Oryzias latipes: one gene and its partners. The protein of the gene in region 1 purifies or fractionates together with the protein of each later gene. This does not show direct contact. Links are inferred from orthologs where the notes say so. Each region holds a gene or a part of one and is shown on either strand. Other genes may lie near its edges.

Region 1 (4,327 bases):
ACTCATAATACGAAACAATAACTCACAACACAAAAACACACAACACAGCGACACGAAACAATAACTCATAATACGAAACAATAACTCACAATACAATAACACACAACACAACGACACGAAACAATAACTCATAATACGAAACAATAACTTACAACACAATTACTCACAACACAACACTTTAACTCACAACACAACACAATAACTCACAACACAAAACAATTTGTCACTGTGAAAATAAGAAAACTATCAGTTTGTTAAAGTTTGAAAGATATTTACAGATTTCCGGCCTCAGTAACTCTTCTGATAAACGTTTAAATGCAAATGGAAGTATGTCAATCATTTTGTATTAACTCTGAAAGTGAACTACAAATGCATTTCTAAAGAAAAATCTTTTTTTTTGCCTTTTGATAAAATTGTTCAGAAGAGTTTTGATGGCCGGAAGTCCGAATCTGTGAATCTTTGTCAAACTTTAACAAACTGACATTTTTCTTATTTTCATAGCGACAATGCTAATAATAAAAAAGGTCCCCTAATTTTATTTATTTTTTTATTTTCCCCTCTCGGATTATTGAGAGGGCCTGCAAAGTGGGTCACAGAAACACACGGAAGGAAGCGGCTGACATACAGACAAATCTCAGCTTCAGAGAAACTGCAGGAGAATCTTTGAACGAGTTTATGAACCCTGAATGGAGACGTGACCACCAATGTTTTAGCCCAGTGGAATTTCAGAATAAAAGCACAGCAACTTCTGTTGAATTTAACTTCCATTTTGAGTTCAACTGTTGTGTTGTGAGTTCAAGTGTCGTAAGTTATTGGTTTGTGTTGTGAGTTAATTTGTTTGGTGTTGTGATGAATTGTAGTGTGCTATTTTATGCTGTGTTGCAAAATCTAAAGAGTTGTGACCCTTCTGGGCCACTGTACTGCTGTCCTTGAACTGTTTGTTTATGAGTTGAATAAAGTTTGAGCTTCAGTACTTTTTTTCAAACTTTTCCACTGACTTATTCCTCCCTCCCACTAGCAGAGCAGAAACCTATGCACTTTTGTCAAATTTTATTAAAGGAAACAAGATTACATTTCAAACCAGATTACAGATTTCCACCCTCAGATTTTGACAGTGACTGAAAAAACTACTCCTTTACTTTGCTGTCCTGCAGTAATAGATTACACTCCGGCCTCAGGAGGGTGCTCTGTCCAAACAGGCTGCGGAAAAGCTCGCTGCGCGCCTCGTCACTCATGGAGCTGTTGTCCATCGGCGCCATGAAGTTGAGCAGCTTGGAGTGGACGTGGAAGCGGATCTTGCGGCCCTTGCTGGCTCTGGTGTCCACCTTCCTCTTCATCTTGCTGCGCAGCTTCTGGATGGCCAGCCACTGCCGGCCCGTGGCCAGCTGCTCGTTCGAATCCGTCGCGCTGGTCTTGCGCTCGATCAGCTCCCTCAGGAGCTGGTGGTAGAAGTCGTCGTCGTCGAAGATGTCCTCGTCTAGATGTTTGAGGTGGCTGTTGGGTTTGAGGGAGGCCGGCAGCCCCTCCTGCTCGCCTGTGTTCTCACATGTGTCCAGGCGCTTCTCCGTTCTCCCCAGAACTCTGTACTCGGAGCGCTGCATCTGGGTACGCTGCACCAGCCTCTCCTTGTCCTCCAGCACCTGCTGCACCTGGGTCACAACACTCCTGTCAAAGGCCCCGAAGCCCCCGCCGCCGCGGCCCCCCGCCAGCCTGGTTCTGTCGTCCCACTTCTGCAGCGTGGCGGTGCGGAAAGACTCAAAGGAGGAGAAGCGTTTGGCCATGAGGGCTGGGTAGTCCGCCATCTCCAGCTTTCGCTTCGGCGCTCGCCGCTCTGCATGCTCTTCATCACTGACAAGCTCTTCATCTTCACTGTGACCCGCTATGCTCTTCGTGTCTGGGTTTTGCTCCAGCAGCAGGTCCTGCAGCTCCAGCAGGGACCTCTGGAGGGCCTTCAAAGCCTTGTGGGTGTTTCCCAGCACCCCCTGCAGCTCTGTGCCGCCCCTCTTCTGGAACTCTGGGAAGGTGTGAGGCTGCGGCAGCTGGTTAGCCGACACCAGAGCCTTCTGGATCTTGATCCGGGCCTCAAGGAACTGGTCCCACAGAGCCAGCTGGTTCCTCACAGCCATCCCCTTCTCCACCTCCCCGTCCACTTTGTCCTGAGAAAATGTGTGCACACCCTCCTCTTCCTCAACAGATTCATCTTCTTCATCACTTTCTCCAGACTCTCCACTCTCCTCCTCATCGTCATCTTCCTCGCTAACTTCCAGATCCTCCACGCCCTCCGCCAGACGATGATAGTCCATTAAGGAGTCAGAGGTCTTCATCAAGGAGGCATTATCAGAATCCTGCAGGGAATCACCATCCTGAATTTCCTCCTCTTCCTCACAATGATCGTCATCTTCCTCCTCCTCCATATCTTCCTCTTCTTCTTCACTCTCATCTTCATCTTTTTCGCTGATTTCTTCTTCCCCCTCCAACTTCACCTTCTTCTCTTTCAAGTATGGTTTGTTACATTTTTGATCAGCTTCCTCCTCCTCGGTGTCATCCTCTTCCTCCTCTTCATCCAGCAGCTGTCTCCGGGTCACCACCCTCCCCTTGTACCGCGTGTCAGACTGCGGATCGCAGTTGCGTATCCGCAGCGCGCTCGTGGCGTGTTGTTCGTCTTCGTCCTTCTCCTCTTCATCGTTAGGTCTGTGGATTACGCGCGCTCGCGTGGACTCCTGAACGTCGTGATCCTCCGGATCTATGAATGTGGGCTCAGGGTTCAGAAGTTCTTCAAGCGCTTGTGAAAAAGAACCCGCCATTCCGAGCCATGCACGCAGCACTGAGGCGACAGCACGACGGTGACGCAGGCAACACGCGACAGGTATTTGGATTATCCCTGAACGCTGTCTGCAAGGCAGAAACACTCGCGTGTTTGTTTCATTACGTTTTTTCCCCTAAGAAAAACTTGGACTGGAGCCACGTTGAAGCCAGACAACAAACTGTGCGCTTCTATTTAAATAGATAGTAGCAAGCTTGTAACTTAATAAATAAATTTTAATTAAAAAAAACCCCAAATACGTTATTTTGTTCCTTTCTATGACAGTTTTCACACGTTTTCTGTTCTGTGCTGCAAGAAATTAAGTAAATGTAACACTTCAATTTGAAAAGTAAGATCAAAGAAATTTGAGGTTTTCATGGCCTAATTAAAAAAAAACATAAAAATGTTTTGTTAAAGAATCAGGAGAGTTTTATTTTCAAGATTACAGTAGACCATTAGATATTTTCAAATTAATTACAACTTTTTAAAATCTTTTTTTTTTACTTTTTTAAAATTTCGTTATTTGTTTTTCATTATTTTAAATTAATTTAAATTGACATCTTTAGGAAATACTTAAGAATTTTTTGTGCTGAAAAGCAGATTTGCTTGTCAGTAAAGCAGACCGGCAGAAAAAAATCAAAGAGACATGCAATATGAGGAGGAATTTGCTGCAGCTGTGGAGTCTATGGAGCTGATTATTTTATTAATTAGATGTTCTCAAAATATAGTTTTAAAACATTCCTGGTGCGGGCTTTTTTTATTCACCAGATTCTTCAGTGCTAAATAATTACTTTTGGAAGATATTTTTTTCTTTTTTCTTTTTTGCTTAATTCTGATAAGGTACTGCAAGTGTTCGTTTACAGTAAACTGAGATGTACTTTGTGTTTATATTTCAGGTGGACTTTTGATAGCCAAGGCTTATCTGTCACATAGCTGTTAATTGTGCTAAACTCATGTAACGTTGCCACAGGATGTTCCACAAGAAAATGTTAATTGTTCATTCCTCTGGCCATCTATGAATAAAAACTTTCCAAAGTCGCTGTTGCAGATCTCAGCGGGAATCTTGTTTACGCCTGGAAGACAAAGTTTGAGGTGTAAAAAGATCTGTGGTCTCGACTCGAGTGCGCATGCGTGAAATGCTCGGCGACTCGGGGCTTCTCCAGCTACTTGGTTTGATATTCTGAGTTGACCCGCAGAGTCATTTTAGGAGCAAACATGTCTACAAGTGATTTTTATCTGAGGTATTACGTCGGGCACAAGGGGAAGTTTGGACACGAGTTTTTGGAATTTGAGTTTCGGCCTGACGGTGAGTCCTGTTCGGCGGTTAGCTCCGGCTAACGCGGCTAAGCTACGTCGGGCCGCGTTGGTGTTAGCGCCATATTTGTCTAAACTTAAAACTGAAAATTAACACTAATCTTTCGTCGAAGAAGGAGTAAAACCTTATACCCCGCCTAAAACCCTCCCTTTCGCTACAATTCCACCTTGTTTCGTAAGTAGCCCTAAGCTAATGGAGGCAGAGCCGCT
Region 2 (4,408 bases), on another chromosome or scaffold:
CGTCACGCAGCAGTCTGTCGTCACGCAGCAGCCTGAGGTCACGCAGCAGGCTGTCGTCACGCAGCAGTCTGTCGTCACGCAGCAGGTCTGTCGTCACGCAGCAGGTCTGTCGTCACGCAGCAGGCTGTCGTCACGCAGCAGGCTGTCGTCACGCAGCAGTCTGTCGTCACGCAGCAGTCTGTCGTCACGCAGCAGGCTGTCGTCACGCAGCAGTCTGTCGTCACGCAGCAGTCTGTCGTCATGCAGCAGGCTGTCGTCACGCAGCAGGCTGTCGTCACGCAGCAGTCTGAGGTCACGCAGCAGCCTGAGGTCATGCAGCAGTCTGTCGTCACGCAGCAGTCTGAGGTCACGCAGCAGTGTGAGGTCATGCAGCAGGCTGTCGTCACGCAGCAGCCTGAGGTCACGCAGCAGGCTGTCGTCACGCAGCAGTCTGTCGTCACGCAGCAGTCTGTCGTCACGCAGCAGTCTGTCGTCACGCAGCAGTCTGTCGTCACGCAGCAGTCTGTCGTCACGCAGCAGTCTGTCGTCACGCAGCAGTCTATCGTCACGCAGCAGTCTGTCGTCACGCAGCAGGCTGTCGTCACGCAGCAGGCTGTCGTCACGCAGCAGGCTGTCGTCACGCAGCAGTCTGTCGTCACGCAGCAGCCTGAGGTCACGCAGCAGTCTGTCGTCACGCAGCAGGCTGTCGTCACGCAGCAGGCTGTCGTCACGCAGCAGTCTGTCGTCACGCAGCAGTCTGTCGTCACGCAGCAGCCTGAGGTCACGCAGCAGGCTGTCGTCACGCAGCAATCTGTCGTCACGCAGCAGTCTGAGGTCATGCAGCAGCCTGAGGTCATGCAGCAGTCTGTCGTCACGCAGCAGTCTGTCGACACGCAGCAGCCTGAGGTCACGCAGCAGTCTGTCGTCACGCAGCAGTCTGTCGTCACGCAGCAGGCTGTCGTCACGCAGCAGGCTGTCGTCACGCAGCAGTCTGTCGTCACGCAGCAGGCTGTCGTGACGCAGCAGGCTGTCGTCACGCAGCAGGCTGTCGTCACGCAGCAGGCTGTCGTCACGCAGCAGGCTGTCGTCACGCAGCAGTCTGTCGTCACGCAGCAGCCTGAGGTCACGCAGCAGGCTGTCGTCACGCAGCAGTCTGTCGTCACGCAGCAGTCTGTCGTCACGCAGCAGTCTGTCGTCACGCAGCAGTCTGTCGTCACGCAGCAGGCTGTCGTCACGCAGCAGGCTGTCGTCACGCAGCAGGCTGTCGTCACGCAGCAGTCTGTCGTCACGCAGCAGGCTGTCGTCACGCAGCAGTCTGTCGTCACGCAGCAGTCTGTCGTCACGCAGCAGGCTGTCGTCACGCAGCAGGCTGTCGTCACGCAGCAGGCTGTTGTCACGCAGCAGGCTGTCGTCACGCAGCAGTCTGTCGTCACGCAGCAGGCTGTCGTCACGCAGCAGGCTGTCGTCACCCAGCAGTCTGTCGTCACGCAGCAGTCTGTCGTCACGCAGCAGTCTGTCGTCACGCAGCAGGCTGTCGTCACGCAGCAGGCTGTCGTCACGCAGCAGTCTGTCGTCACGCAGCAGGCTGTCGTCACGCAGCAGGCTGTCGTCACGCAGCAGTCTGTCGTCACGCAGCAGTCTGAGGTCACGCAGCAGTCTGAGGTCACGCAGCAGTCTGTCGTCACGCAGCAGGCTGTCGTCACGCAGCAGGCTGTCGTCACGCAGCAGTCTGTCGTCACGCAGCAGGCTGTCGTCACGCAGCAGGCTGTCGTCACGCAGCAGTCTGTCGTCACGCAGCAGTCTGTCGTCACGCAGCAGTCTGAGGTCACGCAGCAGTCTGTCGTCACGCAGCAGTCTGAGGTCACGCAGCAGCCTGAGGTCATGCAGCAGCCTGAGGTCATGCAGCAGTCTGTCGTCATGCAGCAGTCTGAGGTCATGCAGCAGTCTGAGGTCATGCAGCAGTCTGTCGTCATGCAGCAGTCTGTCGTCATGCAGCAGCCTGAGGTCATGCAGCAGTCTGTCTTCATGCAGCAGTCTGTCGTCATGCAGCAGCCTGATGTCATGCAGCAGTCTGAGGTCATGCAGCCTTACCGGTTGCCAAAATGTATTGACCGTCCCTGGAGACTTTGATGGAGGTGCAGACGGTGGGCATCTCAAAGTCCTGGATGAGCTCAATCCTTCGCTGCACATCTGGATGTGGAGCAGAACCGTCTTAGTGATGGCAAACGCTTCAGGAACAGACTATAATTGAAGAGAAACTCACCCACATCCTTCTTCTGCAGCTGCCTCTTTCTCCGGTCTGACAACCACTTCAGAAAGAAAAACACCAATGAACGCAGAGACTCAGACTGCATGGGAGCTGTGAGCTTCTGCTTGACTGAACAATAACACAACGCCAGTCCTCTGTGGTGAAATCCCCAAATAGTGCTTTCTGACAGAAATTAACAAATAAAAAAGCAGCTCTTGGTATTTTTCTTTTTTTTTTTACAATCGTGTCAGGAAGCTCATGATGAGACAAATCCACCATCAGATTCACATGTTCGCACATCAGCGATGTAACGGAGAACGGCCAAACAAACGTCACCCACGTGGCTGAACTAGGCTAGCTGTAAACAAACGACGCTTCGGGAACGAAAAACAGACAAAGCTCACTTCTTACCTCCGGAAGGGACTTTCCGTAGCTTAAATTATAAATCTTTACATCGTTTATGCTGGAAACCTGCATTGTACTTCAAGAAGAAGTCTGTTGTCACTCAATACAGAATTATAACCATGCTTCAACGAAAGCCGAAAGAGAGAGTGTGGCGCTAAAAAAGGTCCGACTAGAAACAGAGTCGTTTGTTCAGTTCCACCTGTCTGTGTGTTGATCAAATGAGAGGGTAGCTTTTATAAACCCTCCCTCCCTAAAACCCCCTATAAAAATAAAAAATACACGCTTTTTTAATTTCTTTTTTATCCTGTTAAATGAAAAAGTTCTAACAGTTTCTTACATTAAAAATATATGGAAGCGTATTACATTAATGTTATATGTACAAAAAGAAAAAAAAACCTCTCCCCCTTTGTGGGTGGTTTCTCCTCCAAGCTCGGGTCCTCTACCAAAGGCCTGGAAATTTGAGGGTCCTGCAGGATCTTAGCTGTTCCTGTTCTGGACTGAGAGGTCTGAGGTCTTTCCAGGTATCTGTTGTAGCCACTCCTCCAGCTTGGGGGTTACTGCCCCTAGTGCTCCAATTACCACAGGCACCACTGTCACATTCACTTTCCAAGCTTTCTCCAGTTTTTCTCTGAGTTCTCCAGTTTCTTATGTTCCTTCTTCCTGATGTTTCCATCGCTTGGCACTGCCACATCCACCACAACGGCTTTCCTCTGCTCTTTATCCACCACTACAATATCTGGTTGGTTCGCCATCACCATCCTATCAGTCTGGATCTGGAAGTCCCACAGGATCTTTGCCCTCTCATTCTCTACCATCTTCGGATGTGTTTCCCATTTTGACCTTGGGGTTTCCAGTCCATACTCTGCACATGTTCCTGCATATAATTCCAGCCACTTGATTGTGGTGCTCCATGTATGCTTTCCCTGTCAGCATCTTACACCCTGCAGTTATGTGCTGGATTGTTTCAGGCGCCTCTTTGCACTGCCTACACCTTGGGTCTTGTCTGGCGTGGTAGATCTACACCTTGGGTCTTGTCTGGTGTGGTAGATCTACACCTTGGGTCTTGTCTGGCGTGGTAGATCTACACCTTGAGCCTTATTTGCTCTGATTCCAGTGGGTCATTAAATGTATAGAAAGCAGATATTCAGACAGTAGCACTGATATTTTAATGGACATTGGACAGACACACAGTTTACTGTCAGCAGAATTCTCTGTTGCATTTATGTGGAGACTGGCACACATAGGAATTACAGAGAAGGAGTTGGCAGATGAAAACGCAAAACTAGCTTCTATGAAGCTTAGTATTGATATACATGTTGCTGTTAGCAAAAAAAAGGTGAAAGGCTTGGTGAAAGACAAAATATTAGACAGACGGCAAAGATGGTGGGGAGGGACAACAAAGGAAGCTGTTATTACAGGAAACAGAGAGTTGATGTGAAGATGGGATACGTTGGTCGTAATAGACTATAGAGCAGAGTTGTGTAATGATAATCTTTTTAAAATGGGAAAACATTTTAATGGTAAATGGGATTTTTGTAATGATGATGAAACAATAGAGCACGTGTTGAAATGTAGGATGCTCTCTGTTCAGAGACGGTTGATGAAGGAACATCTTGAAGGAAAGGAATGAACTGGGAAATTAAAGATATTTATGCAGCACCAGCAGTTCTACGTTTTTGATTTCATTGTTGAGGAAGAAGAAAATAATTGCTTTGTAAACAGTCAGTCTGTGTTAACTCCACCTCCTATCTTTATAACTGGGCCATTCCTATGACC
Region 3 (4,277 bases), on another chromosome or scaffold:
TAAATTAATCTGCTGCAACAGGGGTAATAAGACCCCCCCCCCCCCCCCCCGGGTCTTATTTGACACATGGTGTATTTTATTTTGAAAGAACCTTTTATTTAAGGTACCACTTTCAAAATTTGAATTGTTTTAACTATGAAACCATAAAACTTATTCAATTAATGCCAATATTTAACAGCAACTTTTTTTTTTATAAATGAATGGCCACAAGGCTTTTGCAGCTCTCTGGGTTTTGGTTGGTAAGAAACTGGATCAAACAGCTCTTACTAGTGTTACTGGTTGCAGACCCCTGCTGTAACCCATTTGGAAAAGATATTGCCCAATTTCTGCTCAAATTTTACCTTGAAAGGTGTTTCATCACAAATGCAAAAATGATCGATTTTTAGTTATTTTCCCCTTCAATAATCTAACTCAACATCATTTTGTTTCCCTTACAAAGATCTGGTATGCTTTGCCTGTGGGGCAATGAACACACTGAGCGAGGTGATGTTAGTAAACATTACTGCCCTCTAGTGGTGATGAAAACACATGACATACAAATAAAACTTCAAACGTTTATTTCACGATTCACTATGAAAAGCTGGTTTAAATTGATCCAGTCAAAGAATTGGAAGCTGTTATGAAAAGTCCTTGGTATTGAGACATCGCGGCGTCTATCTGTGCTTCTTGAAGGCTGCAGAAGAGAAAATTGTACATTTTAATTCCATAAGGAAGGCGTAATTGTGTCTTTTTTTTTTTATTAGACTTTCACCTTTTCTTTTAGTTTTCTTCTTCATGAGCTTCTTCTTTTTCTTTGGTCGCGAGCCGTCCCCATCCTAAGGAACAAACAAAAAAGTATAGTAAGTTTGGGTATAAGTTGGGAGGGGGGTGTATGAAGACCGCACCTGTCCGCCTTCACCGCCAGTCAAAGCCGTGATGTCTCCAAAGTGTGTGATCCTGCTCAGCTGGCCGGACATTCCCATCATGCCTCTCTTCTTGGAATTCCTATGACTCTTTGGCATGGTGAGGCGCACCATCATGGACTCTTCATAATTTTTCCTGTGCAGGACAAAGTATTTAGAAAGCTTCCAAAAAAAACTGGAGCTTACCCTTTAATGCTACACACCTAACAAGCTTTTCAATTATTATTAAAGGAGACAAGCTCGTGAAAACAGTTGTAGTTATGTGTCAGGATTGGATAAAGCAAACACTTGGGTACCTGTGGAGCTCCTCGTGGCTCTGCCGTTCGCTCTGGAAGTCGCGCTTCTCCCTGATCTCCTCTGGAGCGTCGCTGTACTGCTGCCGGAGCTCCTGGATCACAGAGCTCCTGAGGGCAGCTCGCCGCTGCCGCTCCATCTGGGCCTTCTTCTTGTCTGCCTCCGTCAAGTCACCGTCTACAAGAAGAAAGCATTCTTACGGCAAACCTAAACACACATTTAAACATTGTCACCGGGAGCAGCGGGTCTTACCATAATGCATCGGGGCAATCTTTGGAGGAACATATTTCTTGCTATGGGTGGCTGGTTTCTTCGCCGAAGATGCTTTGTCTTCATCTTCATCGTCAGAGTCCTCAGATTCACTTAACTAAATAAAACAATTAAAAATATGTTGTTTTTCATACAAAAAAAAAGTAGACAGTCCTGATTATGTGATATTTACCTTGCTTATGAGATTCTCAGGGTTGGGGCGCAGTTGCAACGGGTCATTTACCGCTAAAACCACCCAAAAATACGGCATTTTAATCAACCAACAACAAAGTCCACAAGCAGAATTATGTTAAAGTTTACCTAAACTGCCCGTCACGGCTGTGCGCACCAGTTTATCAATCTGGTATTTCAGCTTATGATCCAGAGGTCGCATCTTCTCCAGCACCTTCACAGAGAAAAGAAACAGATCCGATGCATGATGGGCTCTGTCCCTGACGACCAACACGAAGGAATCCTCAGTTCATCTTACTGTTCTGACTGTGACAATTCTGTCCAAGGCTTCACTTTCTTTGATTTTGCCTCCTGCTGTCTTGATGCTGATCAGGTGAGTCAGGTCCTGGAGGTAGAAGAGCATCAGCTGGTAGCGAAGGTCCAGGAAAGATAAACCCTGCACAGGGAGACAATACACAAAAAAAGTTTTCTTCACAACTTTAGTAAAACATTAAAAAAAAGTATTCTGGTTACTAAGAAAAGCTGATCATTAAAGAGGTTTGAAATATCCACACTCACCTTTGAGGTCTTAAACGCACCATCTTTGACTTTGGTGAGCAGTTCACGTACATATCTGGTGACAGAGGCTACCTAAAATAAAAGACTTTAAGTAAACTAAATGCATTCGGAATGAATAAAGTTATTAATAAACAAATTTATAGTCCTTTACAACAAAACACAAAACTACGAGAAATGTAAGGCAAATAAAAGATACCTGCTCCGTGAGAGTGTTCAGCAACTCGACTGCTTTAGGTAAATCTCTTTCGATTAAATCCTGTAAGAAAACGTATTTATCTGTCAGAACAAATTAAGTGTTTGTTTTTGTCTATAACCCACAAAACAAATCAATGCTAGCTGAGTAGCTTTAGCTAACTCCGGTTTGTAAACATCCCCAGTATTATTCCGTTTGATTTATGTTCCGTATGGGTATTTACAAAAAAATTATATATGTTACATACAAAAACGCCAACGTGTCTGCCAAGACAACTTAAATAATTATAAAAGAAAAACGTTTCAGTTGAACTCACGTTGTCTACCGTGGCAGCCATTTTAATTCCAGATAACTACGGAAACCAGTGTAGGACAAACTTAAAATTTTCGCGCGGAGAGTATTCCTAGCTTGTACTAGTAGATATAAATATCTCAAGCGAATATTCCTTTTGTACATTTGTTTAACAAACAATAAAACAATAATAGTGCAGTGTATTCAAAAGAATAAAAATATTTTTTTTAAATTTTGAAACCAATTCCTCTCTGCTATAAGTAGTTAACTTAAGTGTACCAGGAGTACAGTATGTCTATACTTAAAGTGAAGCAGTGTTTCTAAAGTTTACTTTTTAGATATTTTAAACTTAAAATGCTCCAATTTAGTCAGAATAAGTATTCAGTTAGTATTCTTACAACACTACTCAAAAGTATACTTGTACTCAAGTATACTTCATCAAATAAACTCCATGTGTATTCCTTTTTTCTAAGGGTCAACTATCTTTCTTTTTTTGAAATCACAATAAAAAAAAATCTTAAAACAAAAATGAAAAAGAATTTTTCCATCAATAGGAATTTAATTGAAGGGCATGTTGAATTTGCAAAAACGCCTTAAATGAAATCCTCTGATAGTGATCAGAGGAGCAGTCAGAGTTGGGAGCAAGGTTGTGACAGTTAGGTTTAAGCATTTCAACAGTTGTGATCCTGATCTTAGAAGGTCAGGAAGAGCTGAAAGTCATGACTACACCATCCTAATAAGGATGGCTGCTCAGGCTTTCGTGTGTTTGTGAGAAAGAGAGACAGAGAGGAAGTGATGGTGTGATAATCAGAGGGGTACCTGTCTATCTGTCTGTCAGTCCCATGTCCTTCTTGTCATTTTCAGTCAGAGCTTCTTCAGAGAACACAGGAGACTCTTTGGAGCAAAAAGCCATGGTGAGTCACATTTGAATCCTCCTAGAATTCAATTAAAGGAGTCCGAACCTAAGTGTAATTTATTGATTTCATTGATTTTTACTCAAACCAGGATGTTATCGATTTCATGTTTTTTAATAGAGGTGTAACCAATCATTTCGACAACGATTCGATTCATATCATAATTTGTGGTTGATGATAGGATTCATAGTCGGTTCATTTTGAACAATCCAATTTGATCTGATTCACTGATCCAAAACTTCAACCTCAGAGATAAATACCTGCTACTGAACAGTGCAGGGGAAGTTTCCCAGATTCCTTGTATGTCTTGCAAGATAATTAAGTGTAAATTAAATATGTGTACAAAAAAACATGTGAACAAGAATCAATGACAAATCCATTCACATTTTAGTTTCCCAAAGTTCAGTCCACTGTTGTTTTTCCACATAAAAAAATACAAACATTAATAGAACTTTTTAGCACACTGTATGGTCACGTCTTTGCTAAATTCAAAGTGTTCATTATGATTTATTATAAACTCTATTGAGGCGACAATTGTTGTAATATTGGGCTATATAAATCAAATTGAATTGGAGTGTTTCACCACATTGGACTGGAATAATACATTGATCATTTTTTGCTGCCGTCACGTGTGTTCTCCGCTGTGATGATGTTGGTTGTTTTTTATGACATAGTAAAATAAAC

The links. The genes of interacting proteins can lie anywhere in the genome.
Region 2: the proteins of aatf (region 1) and nol10 purify together in Homo sapiens (affinity purification with mass spectrometry; 4 studies listed by BioGRID and IntAct, counting the BioPlex papers as one, with this or other methods). This does not show direct contact. The link is inferred for Oryzias latipes from reciprocal best matches to the Homo sapiens genes AATF and NOL10.
Region 3: the proteins of aatf (region 1) and ngdn purify together in Homo sapiens (affinity purification with mass spectrometry; 3 studies listed by BioGRID and IntAct, with this or other methods). This does not show direct contact. The link is inferred for Oryzias latipes from reciprocal best matches to the Homo sapiens genes AATF and NGDN.

The regions. Positions count from the first base shown.
Region 1 is NC_019862.2:23,974,495-23,978,821, forward strand, and holds aatf (protein AATF), read right to left. Parts: upstream 2,880-4,327; 5' UTR 2,805-2,879; coding exon 1,128-2,804; 3' UTR 545-1,127; downstream 1-544. Other genes in the region: protein mago nashi homolog, read left to right, coding at 4,019-4,109. UniProt on the Homo sapiens protein: Part of the small subunit (SSU) processome, first precursor of the small eukaryotic ribosomal subunit.
Region 2 is NC_019880.2:20,041,624-20,046,031, forward strand, and holds the start of nol10 (nucleolar protein 10), read right to left. Parts: upstream 2,841-4,408; 5' UTR 2,705-2,840; coding exon 2,639-2,704; intron 2,289-2,638; coding exon 2,243-2,288; intron 2,170-2,242; coding exon 2,071-2,169; intron 1-2,070.
Region 3 is NC_019878.2:12,329,439-12,333,715, reverse strand, and holds ngdn (neuroguidin), read right to left. Parts: upstream 2,772-4,277; 5' UTR 2,726-2,771; coding exon 2,705-2,725; intron 2,452-2,704; coding exon 2,392-2,451; intron 2,268-2,391; coding exon 2,196-2,267; intron 2,074-2,195; coding exon 1,936-2,073; intron 1,852-1,935; coding exon 1,767-1,851; intron 1,692-1,766; coding exon 1,639-1,691; intron 1,564-1,638; coding exon 1,449-1,563; intron 1,374-1,448; coding exon 1,199-1,373; intron 1,039-1,198; coding exon 885-1,038; intron 816-884; coding exon 752-815; intron 674-751; coding exon 654-673; 3' UTR 541-653; downstream 1-540. Other genes in the region: CCAAT/enhancer-binding protein beta, read left to right, coding at 3,522-3,593. UniProt on the Homo sapiens protein: Part of the small subunit (SSU) processome, first precursor of the small eukaryotic ribosomal subunit.